Linked DNA regions of Alligator mississippiensis. The protein of the gene in region 1 binds, or shares a complex with, the protein of each later gene. Links are inferred from orthologs where the notes say so. Each region holds a gene or a part of one and is shown on either strand. Other genes may lie near its edges.

What was found.
Region 2: the proteins of PTPN3 (region 1) and MAPK12 are in contact, whole or in part, in a crystal structure (PDB 4QUM), measured with the Homo sapiens proteins. The link is inferred for Alligator mississippiensis from reciprocal best matches to the Homo sapiens genes PTPN3 and MAPK12. Residues at the interface, in NP_002820.3 of Homo sapiens: Arg655, Leu671, Asn674, Arg675, Tyr676, Lys677, Asp678, Val679, Arg751, His812, Ser843, Ala844, Gly845, Ile846, Gly847, Arg848, Met883, Gln886, Thr887; in NP_002960.2 of Homo sapiens: Met182, Thr183, Gly184, Tyr185, Val186, Val187, Arg189.

Annotation. Positions count from the first base shown.
Region 1 is NC_081828.1:77,596,247-77,603,859, forward strand, and holds the start of PTPN3 (tyrosine-protein phosphatase non-receptor type 3), read right to left. Parts: upstream 3,012-7,613; 5' UTR 2,876-3,011; coding exon 2,827-2,875; intron 1-2,826.
Region 2 is NC_081827.1:40,034,202-40,041,589, forward strand, and holds the start of MAPK12 (mitogen-activated protein kinase 12), read right to left. Parts: upstream 3,005-7,388; 5' UTR 2,780-3,004; coding exon 2,520-2,779; intron 1,600-2,519; coding exon 1,470-1,599; intron 1-1,469. UniProt on the Homo sapiens protein: Serine/threonine kinase which acts as an essential component of the MAP kinase signal transduction pathway.

The sequences.
Region 1 (7,613 bases):
AGCATCATAGACCTGATTTTCTTCACTGTGCTGAATACAAGCCTTCATTCCTGTATTAAGTTCACTCCCTTTCACAAAGCCTTGCTAAAAAGAGTCTTCTATCAATCTGCTGCTGATTCTACACAGCAAGTTGCAATAAGCTCTTTCTCATATGAAGTACTGATTCAGTTTGGTGTCAAAACTGAGACAGAAAACACACACACACTGGGTGCTTCTACATGTGAGCTTTACTGTGGAGTAGATTAATTAGGTCCACACTAAAGTGTCACAGTCTATACATGCACTGGTATTAAGGCACAGGAATTAACTCCGCCATAGTCTGTCAGGGACAGTACTATCTTAGGGCAGAGTATTTGCATGTGATTGAACATGTGTAGGCTGTGACATGGGCTAGTTAGGACACAAGGGTGCTAAAGTGTGGGGGCTGCTTCCAGGCTAGCCCCACGCTATAGCACCCTTGTGCCCCAGCCGGCCACTTTGCTGCCCTCTGCCACCACCCTGAGCCTGGGGCATACCCCCAGGACTTTCTGCCAGTCTGTGGCTGCTCCACCCTGGCTGAGACTTCTGTGGTTCCAGGTGCACATGTAAATGCTGTGCCTTAAAGCACATGAGTGGTGCAAAGTGCACCAGAGTTTATTGCATCTCACTAATAGCATGTCTAGATGCACCCACCTACCCATTCACCCACACACACCACCAAGTTCTACAAACTATGTGCAGAGGAATAATTTAATAGTTTCATTGACCTTATATAGTCCATAAAAAGCAGTTGTATGATTTCAATCCAATATTGCTGTTATTTTAGATTGAGAACACAATTAAGCTCACCACAAACAAGCACTATGTATACTTCATTTCTGTCACACAGACTGCAACAAATCTGAAAATAAAACAACTGTTTGCTTCTGCACACAGATTTCACTGGAATAGAAAAAGAGCACTTTGCAGACAAAACAAAGCATTACCGTTCCATAGCCACAAATACCACAATTCTTGGCATCCTTTAAGAATTTTAGAAAATGTCCATTGCAGTCATTTGACATCAAAATCCTCCTAGGGTATTGTTCCTCTGCCAAGCAAGCAAGGCCCAGTGCAGAACCAATCTGGACAGCAAAGGAGGATTAATGCTACCCTTGTAACTCCCCACTCTTGAGGCCTCCGAGAAAGCAGCCAGAAGTGGTTTGATCCCATAGAACATTTCAGAGCACCCCAGGTATTAAGTGCTAAGTTGCTCCCTGCTGCTCTGAGGAAGCTGTTCTGGCAGCTGGGGGTAGCTGTGTTTTGATCATACTTCCCTTGCAACAGCCCCCACTCCTATACAGGGGGTAGGAATATGGGGAACAGCTTGATCCTTTGATATTCAGAGATAATTTTCAGGAATCCAATTTTACAGCCCATTTGTACTGATCGGTGCTGAAGAACTGAAGGTCTGATGCTATGTCTTTTCCATCAAGACCTCTATAACCATCAGTCATATGTATGAGGAGGGAGTGGGTTTTTATTTTTTCAGCTCACTGGCATGGTTCTTTCAGGGGAACCACACCACAAGCATGCTCTCAGGTAGGAAATAAACAGTGGGAGAAAGAAAAAAAGCTGCCCTCTTCTCTTCAAGCTTGTGTTCTCCTTCATGTAAAAGGAGGAGTGTACAGAATATAAAGAGGACAAAATAGACAATAAATTTCCACTCCTGGAGATTCAGTGTTTTCATGGAGATGAGGCTCTGTTATCTTGTTAATCACTCAAAAAAAATTCTTCCATGTATCTGGAAAACCCTGTAGAACATTTAGCAAACTACATCTTCATTTTCAGATGAAAACCAGTCCTTTTATTAGAAGCAAATCTGAGGCGATAACATGTTATCAAATCTTATGTTGCCAAAACAAAGAAGCCAAGTCACTTAAAAGCTAGAAAGCACTATATTCAGGAGGAGGGAACTGCCTTGACTTTGAAGCTTCACTTTGGCAGGGCATCCAAGAGGTTTACGGGCATATCAGTTCCAAATTCTACCCTTCTTTATGATTTTGCTTAAACAGCTCCATTTTAGACTTATTCAATCCATACCCATTAGTAATTAGTTTCCTAAATTTTTGGTTTTCTGCTACATTTTTAGTCAACAGTACTTAAAATTATATTTGCCTTTGTCCAAAAATGGATAGATAACTCCTTAATAACACTGCCACCACCAACGAGAAAACGAAACAAAACAAAAACCGACAGCCCCCCCATATGTTTCCTCCTCCAAAAACAAGAAAAAAAAGCGATATTTTATTCATTTACTGTTTCATTTTCCTGTATTAAAATAAATATTAAATTGGCAGTGAAGCTCAGTGACAGTTCACTTCTGTTTCCTGCCTGAATTTAAGACAGTGCTGATAACCCTCAGCTGATATTTGGACAAAGGGATAGAAAGCTTCCTGACAACTTAAGAAAAAAGTCTCTGCATATTGTATTTTTCATGCCCTGTCTTGCTAGAAAATGCTTTCCCAGCGCTTCAGTCTATTATGCAAGTTATTTCAAGGTAACAAAAACTCACTGTTCATGTCTCCAATACTGAAGCAGTTAATAGCATGAATAAAGTTTGCAAATAAAAGCAGCAAGTTTTACATTTAAAAACTTTCAAAATGCTTCATAGAAGAGTCCTTCAGGTAAAAACGCTTCTCTTTTGCCCATCAAGCTTACAAGTTCATAAAGGTAAAGCTAATTGCTTCTACATTTATTCATTTGAAGACTTCTTTACTACTTCCCATACTTTTACAACTACAATAGCTAAATTTTTTTCTTTCATTTTCTCCATTTCTTATCAAAAATCAAATTTTTCACACTTACATTTTTCTGGAGGATAACTACACGATTGCAAAATCTCTTGCTCCACCATGGTGCTCTGTGCTGGATATTTCTACAGTCCCTTTAATAGTGTTTCAAAAAGTATTTTGGAAAGCCAAGCTCACTCATGCAAACCTCTGATCTTCTCTTGTACATTTGGCTCCTAGGTGCTGTCACATGTTGTTATTTTCCCTTCTGCGAAACCTGTGAAACAGGTCTAGGAACACACATTTAACGTGTCAGAAAAGGTTTTAATTGATTCATTGCAACAAATATCCACCCTTAAAAATGCAGCGTGCATCTGATTTGTGAATGGGAGTAGTCACCTAACACTTCATTTGAAGTTCCAGTACTTACACAGTTTTACAGTCCACATGCTTTAAAACAAAACTAGGTTTAAATTTGGTACTGGAAAACCTGCAAAAAATACAAGGGGTTAAAATAAAGATATACTGCATAAAGTAAATACTGAATAACCAACACAGTACAATAAGTATATTATACAGTATTATAATTTTGTTTTTTCTTGTGATATTTGGGTGCCTTGTGGTAACTGGAATCAGATAAAGCCTCCTTATATGTGCTGTTTTGGACTACTTTATTTTTATGGTACATGTGCAAAACAGTGACAAATTAAAATTTTGTGTTCAATAATGTAATTGCTTTCAGTCATTCTTTATGTTTTGTATTTATGTGATCTATTATGCATACTTCAGACTCCTCGTCCAGCAAAATAATAAAATTGGGGATTTAAGATAGTGTGCTGCTATGGAATAATTGGTGGTTTTCCTCTTTTAAACATTTACTAGTTTGTTTTCTATTGAGGCAGGCACAAAACTCCTATTATAGACTTAAGTGCAACATTATGACTGATCATTTAGGAAAGTTGTTCAGCAGTAAGCGTTTGAGCCTCATAACTAAAATGATTATATTGTGTCTGAAACACCAGAAACACTGGGGTACTTTGTCAATAAATAAATATTGAGTAATTGTTAAAAAGGCTTTTCTTTGCCAGTTACTTTATCAGGGGCGGGCAATTATTTTGGGTGGATGGCCGCTTACTGAGTTTTGGCAAGCCATCGAGGGCCACATTAATATTAATTTTCTAAATTTTTTAGGGGTCCTGTGGGCTGGATAGAATGGCCTGGTGGGCCACATCTGGCCTGCAGGCCACATTTTGCCCACCCCTGCTTTAGATGATGCTTTTTTTAAATAGTTATTTAGCCTTGGAGCTCCACATCACACCCAACACTGGACTGTGCCTTCATGACACGCTCTGATCTTTCATGATTTGAGCTGCACCAGTCATGGGAAGTGTTGCTATAGGAACATAGCAAAGTAGGACTGAAAACAACCTCACAAGGTCATCTAGTTCAGGCACTTGGTCAAGACAGGATCATCCCTGTCTAAACCATCCCAATCAAGTAACGTCTCAACGTACTCTTGAAAATGTCAAGGGCTGAAGATTACACAGTTCATTTAAGTAGCCTGTTCCAATGCTTGACCTCCCTCATAGTCAGAAAGTTCCTCCTAATCGCCAACCTAAATTTCCTCTGCTTCAGTTTAAGGCCATTACTCCTAGTCCTGTCCTCTATGCCATAGAGAAAAGTCAATCTTTATTCTCCTAAGGTTCACCCTTCAGTTATTTGAAGACTGTTATCAAATCATCCCTGCCCCCAGTCTTCTCTTCTCTTAAATAACCAACTCTTTAAGCCTTTCCTTGTATGTCATGCTTCCCAGTCCTCTAATCATTTTTGTTTTTTTCTGCTGGACTGATTCCAATCTGTCCACATCTTCCTAAAAGTGTGGGGCCATCTGCCACTTCCTTGTGTGCTCGAGCAGGGGGGAGTGTGCAGCTCTTCCCTGGGTGCTCCAGTGGAGGAGAGAGCAGCCAGAGCTGTTTCTGGTCTCCCAGCGGGTGCTCCTCCTGTCTCCATTTTCCAGCCTATTTTTGGCCTGTTGCCCCTGGGCTCTGGGCCATTCAGTGGGGCTCCTCTGGTCAGCATGGGGCCGACTGGCTTGGTTGTAACCTGGCCACCCATGCCTCAGTACAGAGGCAGGTCCAGTGTGTGCCTATTACACCCAAATCCTCCTTTTTTCCCTTCTACTGCATGCTTGGCCATACCATAAGCTACTGAAAGTGAGGCAGCACTGTCTAATGAAGAGGTTCTCAACCTTTTTAGATTCAAAGCAGCCCTCATTAGACTCAAGGCCCCTCTCAAAAAATACCAGTTCTTTTAACTGTTTTTTTTTACTACAGAAAAATACTAGAGCATTTCTTCTGTTGCAAAGAAAATACTAGAGCAATTCTTTTGTTGCAATTCTCCTGTAGCAAATGGGAGGTATGGATTCTGTTCCTGACTACTTTTGATTTGCTCAACCAGTTTGGGCAACTTACTTCATCCCTTGGGGCTTCTGTTTCCTGGTCTGTAAAAGGGGGATAATTACTGTTCCCATTCTTCATAGAGTACTTTGAACCTTCTGTAGGAAATGTGACATGAGGGAGCTAATGTTTGCTATTAGTCACTTGTAAAATATTGTAACAAGGAAGACAGTAGGCAGCTGACATTTGAAAGACCAGAGATGGGAAGTGCTGCATTTTTAATGGAACATGAACTTATAATAATAATTTTTAAAAAAGAGAGAGAGATTGGGAAATTTGGCAAATGATCATTTTTTCCCTCACAGTGGGACCTTGTGAGAGAAACTAAATCAATTCTCACCTCTAAAAACAATAAGTCTTCCTAGAAACAGCAAGCCCATTGCCCAGAGGAAAATGAACTCATATGGACATTTCCTGCCTTTATCTCACCTGGATAAATAAAAGTCTGTCATTTTAATTCTGTTGGCATGCCATATTCTCCAAGACCATATGCTTTCACTCTCTCTCCCCCCAAAATGAACTTTTTCACATGGAGGTGGTCTTGAAAATACAGATACAAGTTCTGATAAGGTTGTATTTTGTAGTAGCTAAACTTATCTTTGTGTTCATTTTTCATATGTTTTGATACTTCAATATGAAAGAATTGTTTGTGTGCAGACACATTTGTGTGGGTCTCTTGGCAGAGGGCTTCCACTCAGGGCCAAACTAGCCATATAGGCAGCACAGATGGCCACCTAGGAAGGCAAATTGTAGGAGTAAGGAAAAACATTTCTTTGGATGGGCACACAGAGCATGCATTTGGCTGGGCCCAGGCTTGGCATGATGCCACCACAGCAGCAGAGAAGGCTTTATCACAGGTAGGTGCCAGACAGGGACAGCATAAACAGAATCAAGAACCAGCAGGTCAGCCTGGCAAGATGCTGCCATGGCCTGGCCACTCAGCACCCTGTATGCCATGGTACCACAGGGCTGTTCTGAGGGGCAAGGTGCTGCACCACTGCTAGTGCATGGGGGACTCTGGGCAGGCTCCCAAGGGACACTGCTGCCACTGAAGCTACATTTGAGTTGGGGCACAGTGGCATGGGGGCCATGCCTAGCTTCCTGAGGCTCAAGGACAGGGCAGCCACACCACATGCCACACTTCTAGGTGCAGCAGCTACTGGGAAAAACCTGGGGGGTTCTGTATGATGCAGAAGGGGCTGCCTAATGTCAGGTCCTCCAAGAACAAAAAGGCAAGGTGGCAAAATTTCATTTGCCTAGAATGGCAAAGAGTCTTATGCTAGCCCTGCTCGCACCATTCCCAAGCTGGAACTGTCGGCAGGTTGTACCATGGGCAACTGGTGCCTCTTGACTCAGGGGGCCCACGTGCCCTGACCGGGGTAGGGGGGAGGTGTCCCTGTGGCCAATCACACTTACCAAAAGCAGCCACACCACTTCCAGAAGTCCCATAGCCACGTCTGGAAGCAGCTTGGCCACTTTTGCTGGTGGCCCCACTCCCCAGCTGGTACTTGCAGGGAGGACGCTGGCACTCCTGCCTGCCCCGCTGCTGGTCGCCTAAACAGGGAGCATGGCCTGGCAGGGGGTGCACCAGCATTCTCCGGGGGTGCACATGCACCCCTGTGCACCCCCTATGTGTTGCCACTGAGTTGTACCATTATACAACCATTTAGAGATGAGTTTGCCACAACATGGGTTTCTAGCAAAGCCAAGTCACTGGATCCATTCCAATATTTGTACACCCACACAAAAATACTCATTAATTAGGCATAAAGTTGCTAGGCTTCATATAATATCAACATTATGAAATGTTCACTCATTTAACACCTACCTTCTCCAGCAGTTGACTTTCTCCTTTTGAGTTCCTTTCCTCCTGCTTCACAGTCCACATACCTGCACCCCCATCTGAAGAACCAAATGACACCCATAAGCTCTAGTATTATGTGCTGATGACTTGCATATAGTTAGGCTTGGTAGAATTGGATTTTTTAAAAAATTCCAATGACTAAAATTGATGTTTATTTTTAAGCATTTATTTAGATCTTTATTGATTTAAATTTTCAGGATAGTGCGAAATTAGGGGTGAGGAGGGCAGATAATTTAATAATGACAATATACTGTTAAAAACACTATAAAATCACATATCATAATGTGAAAAATAAATATCCATAAATTAATAAATCATACCTGCTTTAAATCAGTCTATTCATTTGGTAGTACATTCATAAAAAAGTAAAAAAAATAAAAATAATTTAAGAACATAAAGACCCTGGGATGGCAAAAAAAAAAAAAAAAAAATGAAAAGGACAAAAAAAAATCACCAGATTTTGTATTTTTTCTAATTGGAGCACAAGGGAAGTCCATCCCAACCTATAGGAAAGGTGGTAAAAGGGCTCAGCAACCCCTTTAG
Region 2 (7,388 bases), on another chromosome or scaffold:
GCCATGCATGTGAATTACAAGGTTTCAATATTGCAAATGACTAGCTTCCCTTGCCAGCCCTTGGTTTATAAAATCTGTTCCTCTCAAGTAACAAGCACGATCCGATCTCCACAATTTTAAGAAACGTTTCTCTCAACACACTGTCCCCCTTTTCACTTCTAAACTCACGGAATGTATGGCTATTACCTTGAGCCTCTTTCAGCTCTAATACCCTTGTAGTCTGCCTGTCCCCTTGTGTTCCTTGTAAACTGCTTTTAGTCAAGTCTCCAATAATCTCTTCCTAGCTAAAATCCAACATTTGTAATTTATGACTTGCCCTGATTTTTGTGCCTGTTGATCATATTTACCTAGAAATTAAAATGTCCTTTCCTGCTTCTGATTTCTCTGATCATGCTTTCAACACCTTTATTGATGGGTCTTCCTCTTCCACAAAATTATATCTTCTCAATTATATACCTCCCCAAATGGAATCTAATTCATTCACACACAGTACTGGGCAGGAAATACTTTTCCAGTCCAACAAAAGGTTTTGTTATTTCAATAGCTTTCCCATTCCATACTGGAATGAGAGAAAGATATGAATAGACAACAGTACAGTGGAAAGCGAGAGAGGGAGTATAGGCAACAGCACTGTGGAAAGAGCTCTCCCCGGGAATGTGAAAGCCTTAGATTCAAGTCCCAGCTGCTGGAGACCCCGCTGGTCTCCCATGTCCGGAATGAATACCCCAGCCACAGCACTACAGAGTCAGTCTCTCCATGTGTCCTGTAAGAGCTCTTTCATTTTGTAAATATTATTCATTATGCCAGAGGCTCAGATTCTAGTGGCCAGAGTATCATACCAAAGCCAAGGAACATGCCAAAGCCAACATCCTGCTCTAATGAACTTTTAACTAATTAAACATTCACTGAAGCAAGGGCATGACGCTTCATTTGACATATCCCAGGTTGGTGGCCTGAGCACTGGGCTGCAGTATATCTTTCTGGCAAAATGAACAGTATTTATGCAGTCAGTCAGTCTCTCCCTCCCTCCCACCCCCCAAGACAGACAGCAAATAATATTTACATACAGAGGAAAAGCTCCAATGAGGGAAGTTACAGGATCCACCAAAAACAGAACAGACAATAACCTGACAGTTGGGACCTCTTATGTGGGATGTAGAAGACCATGGTTCAAGTTTCTGGTCTCTCTCCCACTCTCTGTTTTCTTGTTAAAAAACCAAAATGAAAACCATTATGGACTTGAGAAACCCATTCCAAGCAGCGTCTGGTGTATTCCCACAAAACGTTTTAGTTAGACTGGTCAGCATTTTCAGACAAAACAAGTATGTTGTTGTAAAATTGCTAAGTAGCTCCATGTAATAGCATATCTACCTTAGCCAACTAATTCTGCTGTGGAAGCAGCAGACCAGGCAGTGTATGTTGTAGTGCAAGCTACAGCCTTGAGGGGATTTACTAGCGACCGAACTCACATTTTCATGCTTCATGTGTTTCAGAAGGCGCAGTTCCCGGTAGGCTCGCTTGGCAAAGAGTTCAGACTGAAATGGGCGATACAGTTTCTTGATAGCCACTTTGGTGCCATTTCTTCCATCAATAGCGGAGCTTAAAGGGAACACAAAGAGTTTGTGAGTGAGGTCCTGAGTAATATTGAAAGACTCATCAGCTGAACAAACTGAACAGCTGAACAAACTGAACAGTGGATGAGAAGTCAGAGAGTCCTGGTACGGACCATCTGCTTGGCCCTGCCACTACTTTTCTACTGGACAGAGGAAAAGCCACATACCCTCTTCGCTGTAACGTACTGCACTATAAAATAGAGATCACGAGCTAATTCCCCCCAGAGAACCTCATCAGCAGGATGTTAAGTCTATGTGCACTAACTGTAAAGGATCACCAGGTGAACATAGAGAGGCCAATATCAAAAGTTGTGAAAGGCTACACCTGGGAAAGAGAAACAGGGACACATCCAAATTCCACTAGGCTGCATCCAACTAAGCGAGACTTTCTGGTAGAGAAAGAGAGGAACAACTGAATAATTATCTCCTAAAAAAAGATCATCCATCCTAGCCAGGTAAGATGTGGCATAAAGCAGCTGCGCAGAATTGCAGGGTTGGAAGGGCCTTCCTGATAGCATGGCTATCTAGCCACAGGGCCACCAGCCAGGCCTCACTACCACAAAGACACGCCCTGAGAAGTTACAAGAGAAAAGAGGGTTTTGCACAAAACTCAGCCCCAGAGCAGGGCAGAGGAGCAGAGCTGCGGGGCGCCAGCAAGGAAGGGGCTGAGCGGCCGCCGGCTGCCTCAGGAAACAGCTCTTGGACGGGGTCTAGAGCTGCAGGTCCCGGTTTCCCCCTCGGGAAACGCCCGCTCTCGTCTGCACTCGGGTTTTTCCCCGCGGGACGGCTCTTACAAAGTGCTGCAGGCACGAAGCGGCCGCGGGGACTCCTCGGGGTCTGAGCCGGGAGTGGCGCTTGCGGCCCCGCGGGCGGCAGGGAGGGAACAAAGCGAGGGAAGCCGCTCACCACACGGCGCCGTAGGCTCCGGCCCCCACGGGCTGCAGGTCCCGGTAGCGCTCCCGCACCTCCCACAGCGTCTTGGTGAGCTCCTGGCGGTAGAAACCCCTCTTGGGGGAGCTCATGGTGCGCGGCCCCCGCCCGCCAACAAAGAGCCCCGCGGCCGGGCTGCTGCGAGGGGCTGGGCTTGGACACGTCCCTCCGCGAGCGGGGACTGGATGTGGCTCCGGCGCCTCTTTCCCCTCCTCCTTCCTGCCCCTGCTCGCCATTCACTCCGCGAGGAGGGAGGTGCTCGCGGAGGCCCTAGCTGCAGCGGGAGGCTCCCCCTCGTGCCAGACCTCGCTGCCCGCCCCGGCGGCTCCTCCCCGAGCGCCCCGCCGCCGCCGCCGCCCGGTCTCGGGGCGCCAACACCTCGTGCCCCGCGGGGCCACCTCCAGGCGGACCCTGGGCAAGTGCTAACGCTTGGCTTTGGGCTGCACGAGAAGAGCAGAGCAGCTGCCGGGTGTGGGAGAGAGCTCCGGGCTGCTCTGCCCGTGGCACCCTGCCTGAGCCCCCCTCTGCTCACTTAACAGGACCCAGCTGTGCTGGGGCACCAAAGCAAAGCAAGCAGGCTGGCACCCAGCCAGGGGTAGGCAAGAAGACTGCTACTCCTCCCAGCAGGACGCAGGGCTCAGCCAGTCCTACTGTTCGGGGGGGTGTCTACATGTGCATTAGTTAATGCGGATTAAATCTTGTACCTTTGGGCACTTACGCACATGTGGCAAGTCTGCTGGAAATCCAGCATGTTGGAGCAGGCTTGATTAATCAAGTCTGCTGGAGCACATAAATTGACATGCCTAGTGCTACTAGGGTTGCCAACACTAACTAAAGCTATTCCAGGAGATTATTTTCCCCCAATATAATGTAATGTCATTAATTGTACTGTCCATCCCATTCACAGTATCAGTCTCCCAGATTGCTTTCAATAGTCACCGGGAGATTGATGCCGATTCTGGTAGACTCCAGGCCAATCTGGGAGGGTTGGCAACCCTAGGCACTATGCCAGGTCCAGGTGCATCATTGTTTTTTAGTGATACATTAAGGCACATTAAAATAGGCTAATGCACATTAAAGTGCATGTGTAGATGCACCCATAGTGCCCATATGCAGTTTGCCCCAGGATAGATAAACAGTGCTTGGAGGAAAGTACTCAAAATGAGATAGTCTTGCAGTAAAGTCCAGTGTGTTTGTTAGTTCCAGGTTTTTTTCTGAATTAGTTCTGTGACAGGAAAAGAAAATCCACTTGAAAGCAAATGTATATGGGGAATGGGGGGACCCGGGGCAGTTTGGATTTTTCTTTTACCTGCCAGGTTTGATATGGGTCTGAAGATACTTGCAGAATAGGAGAGACGTTGTTATTATTACCATTACATTCCAAAAGTAAATAAAGGCTTTTCTCAAACTCACTCAAAGTATGAAAAAAGAATTGAAAACATTCCCTGCTTCAAGAAGCCTGTAGTCTCAAAAGATAATACAGATAAACATATAAGCAAGTTTATAGTGAGAAAACTATTTCAAGTTGTAAGTTACAATAAGCACATCTTCCCTCTTTTCTGTCACATTCAAGCCTTTACCTGCACCTCTCGTGGTCCTTTTCTAGTTCTATTCAAACTCTTTGCTCATTTCCCTGTCACTACCCCCATTTTCCTGCTTCTTCATACCAACTCCACAAATGATGTATGTGGCTGCCCACATAATTTTTCACGTCACTGATTAGCATCTCTCCCCATTCTGTATCAGCAGAATGGAAGCTGAACACGGATTATTTTTCAGGCAGAGGAGAACTGATATAGGAGAGGAATAGATCATGGGATGCCACTACAATTGAGAGAGGCAATTATCTGCATCTAGAAGTGACAAATACTTCCAGCTACCTTCTCCTGATAAGTTCTAGTGGTATCTTCCTCTTGATATCCGCTGGCTATTTTTTTCATTTGTTTTCTTCTTCCTCTTTTGCTTCCATCTATTTTACCCTTACCTCTTTTTTCTTATTCCTCCTTGCCTTTCCTTTCTCCACTTACTTCTTTTGCTATCATTCTTAGAAGCTCTTGTAAACTCCTGCTTATTATTACATACTATTCATACTATAATTGCACCACACAATACAAAAGTTACTTGCTGTTTATCTACCTTGGAGCAAACTGCAGGTGCATCTACACATGTACTTTAATGCCCATTAGCCTATTTTAATGAGTATTAATGCATTACTAAAAAAGTGCTATTTACTTAAAGCACATTAAAATAGGCTAAAGTGCATATGCTTACACCTGTTACCTTTGCTATTCAACCTTATCCTAGTATCGGATTCAAAATTACCATCGTATTTATTATATTTAAAAGATCAACTCCTCTACACTTGACTTACACAGTCACTCAAGGCAAGGAGGCCAATGCATTACAGGTTCAAGAGGAAAACATGCAAGCTTAGAACAATTTCAGTGCAGGTATATGGAGCTTAACAACATCAACAGTATTTCTTCAGTAAGTATGTCAGGCACATGATATGTACAGCAAACACATACTTTAAAAAAATTTCTGTGCGACTACAACTAGCATTCTTTTTCTTTGGTATCTAGTGAAGCCTTTCTTTTGTCTGATTTCACTCCTAAACAATGTTGCTGAGGTTAGATAATTCAGGCTTGCTGTCACTGGATTCAATTTGTAGCTTAGCTAGAAGGGGGTAATCAACTTCTGCCTGTGGCCAAGTTTCATTGTCTCTGTTGCCTTTTTGGTAGTTCCCATGGACTTTGTCCCTTTTAGTTGTAAATAGTAAATTTGGAAAAGCAGCCCCACCCTCTCCTTGTCATGATGTAGACATCAGAGCTAGGAGAAAAAACAGGCTTTCTAAGTTGCTTGGGGAGAGGCCCTGCAAAATCACCAGCACCCACAGTTTTGATATTTTTTCACAACACATGCATTTTCCATGGTGGTTCTGTACTGAGAGCTGTCCCACTTACCTTGAAGTTTTAGTAATCATGGAAACTACAGACCTTTGTACACTTGGCAGGTACTGTAATGCAATGAGTGTGTTGAGTATTAGATTAACGATATTGATCTAATTAAAAATCAGGACCCCAATAGGATTTCTGTTTTCAAATTATAATATTATAGATGTTGGAAATACTTTTATCCATGTTATACAGTGTCCTTCATCCAAATGATGCGCTGGGTACAGTGAAGTCTGTTGTGGTATGGGGAGGGCTCAGTAATCAATTTTCAGCCAATGTATTATTTATTCAAAGGGTACCTAACATGCAATATATGTTTTTGTTTTCCAGTGTAAATGGACTTCACCACTGTACATTCTAACACTCAGTTGTCCTTTCCCTGGGAAACAGAGGCCATTAGCAACTTTTTTGCAGGGAAGAAAATGGTTGACTTTGATACTGTAGGACTAAGACACTGAATCTGACACAAGACAACATTGACATTTGTCAGAAACTCAGAGTATTTAGAATAACTACACACTCTGACTAACACCTTCCAAAATATCTAAGACTACTTTTTGGCTTGTCTCCTTAACATTATTACTACATGTGGACTAGATGAACAGAGATCCATTATGTGCACCTCTTCCAGGTTCTACTGTCAAACTGTAGCATTTCTAGTCAACAATATCCAGCCACTGGTGAATGTAATTGTATCAGTGTGGATGCCTGGCAATTTTTGGTTGAAAGGAAATCACAAAGGAAATCACCACAAGAACTAATATTATTGCTATCCCCTCCCCTCAACACAAACCTGACTGCCTGGGGTTCAAAACTGAATGTAATCAAATGCTGCTTGGGTTGACAGGTTATTATTTTATAGTCTATATCACAGAAATACCTTGGAATTTAGGAATCAGGGCATTACTGTGCTACGTACGGGGCAACCATGAAGCAAAAATACACTCTATATTCCTTAAATTTATGATTTTGGTTGTATAATAAGACAACACAAACATGTATGAGGAAGGTGGAGAATGATGTAACCAACATTAAATGATAAGGTTTGTCTGGTATTTAACACATGTAGTTTGAAAGGCTCTAAAGATGGTCCTAAACACCAAGGCCTCTTAAATTTTGGCATTTCCATCTCTAGAAGCTAATATAGCACCAGGCAAACATCATCACCTTTTCAAAGCCCTTGCCCATAAAGGGCAGGTTTGCAGGAAAGCAATTGGCAAGGCTGTTGTTGTAAAGAAATGCAGAGATAGACTGGGGCATGGATGTGGGATAAGTATACTTGCCCTTGTAATCTCTTCCATGGTTAATAATCCACTAGGCCCATAAGGCTATTTTAGCTGAAGGGAAGACTCATCCTGGGCCTTAAAGAAAAGTAGATTAGACTTCTTTTCACTGTTGTTCCCCTGGGTTCTGCAGACTGTGGATAACCATGAATCAGGCCCCACCAACACAGGCTGCCCAGGCAAGGTGCAAACTGGTGCTTTCCCAGTCAGCATTGCTCCCGGATTCCTTGGACAATCCTGTCTAGTTTGCATTCTGACCCAGGGATTTTGAAGACGAGTGAGAAAAGTGCATAGTGGGACAATTGCATATGGTCTTGAAAACCTTCTCCATATAATTGGTTCCATACATAGCATTGAAAAGCTGATTTAGGCTCACTACAAAGTCTCATCTTTGCTGTTTAAAGAATAGACCACATATTTTTCAGAAAGTCAGAACAAATTAAAATTAATTTGATATTTATTGTCAAGGCAGTTCTATGCTTTAAGTGATCACACTATTAATGTTGTATTTACAGCAGGGGAACCCGAAGTGTTGTTCATAGAGGACCACTTAATGTTGGGTGCTGCATAACAAAAGGTGCAGACAGCTTGAAAGGCTCTGAAGACAG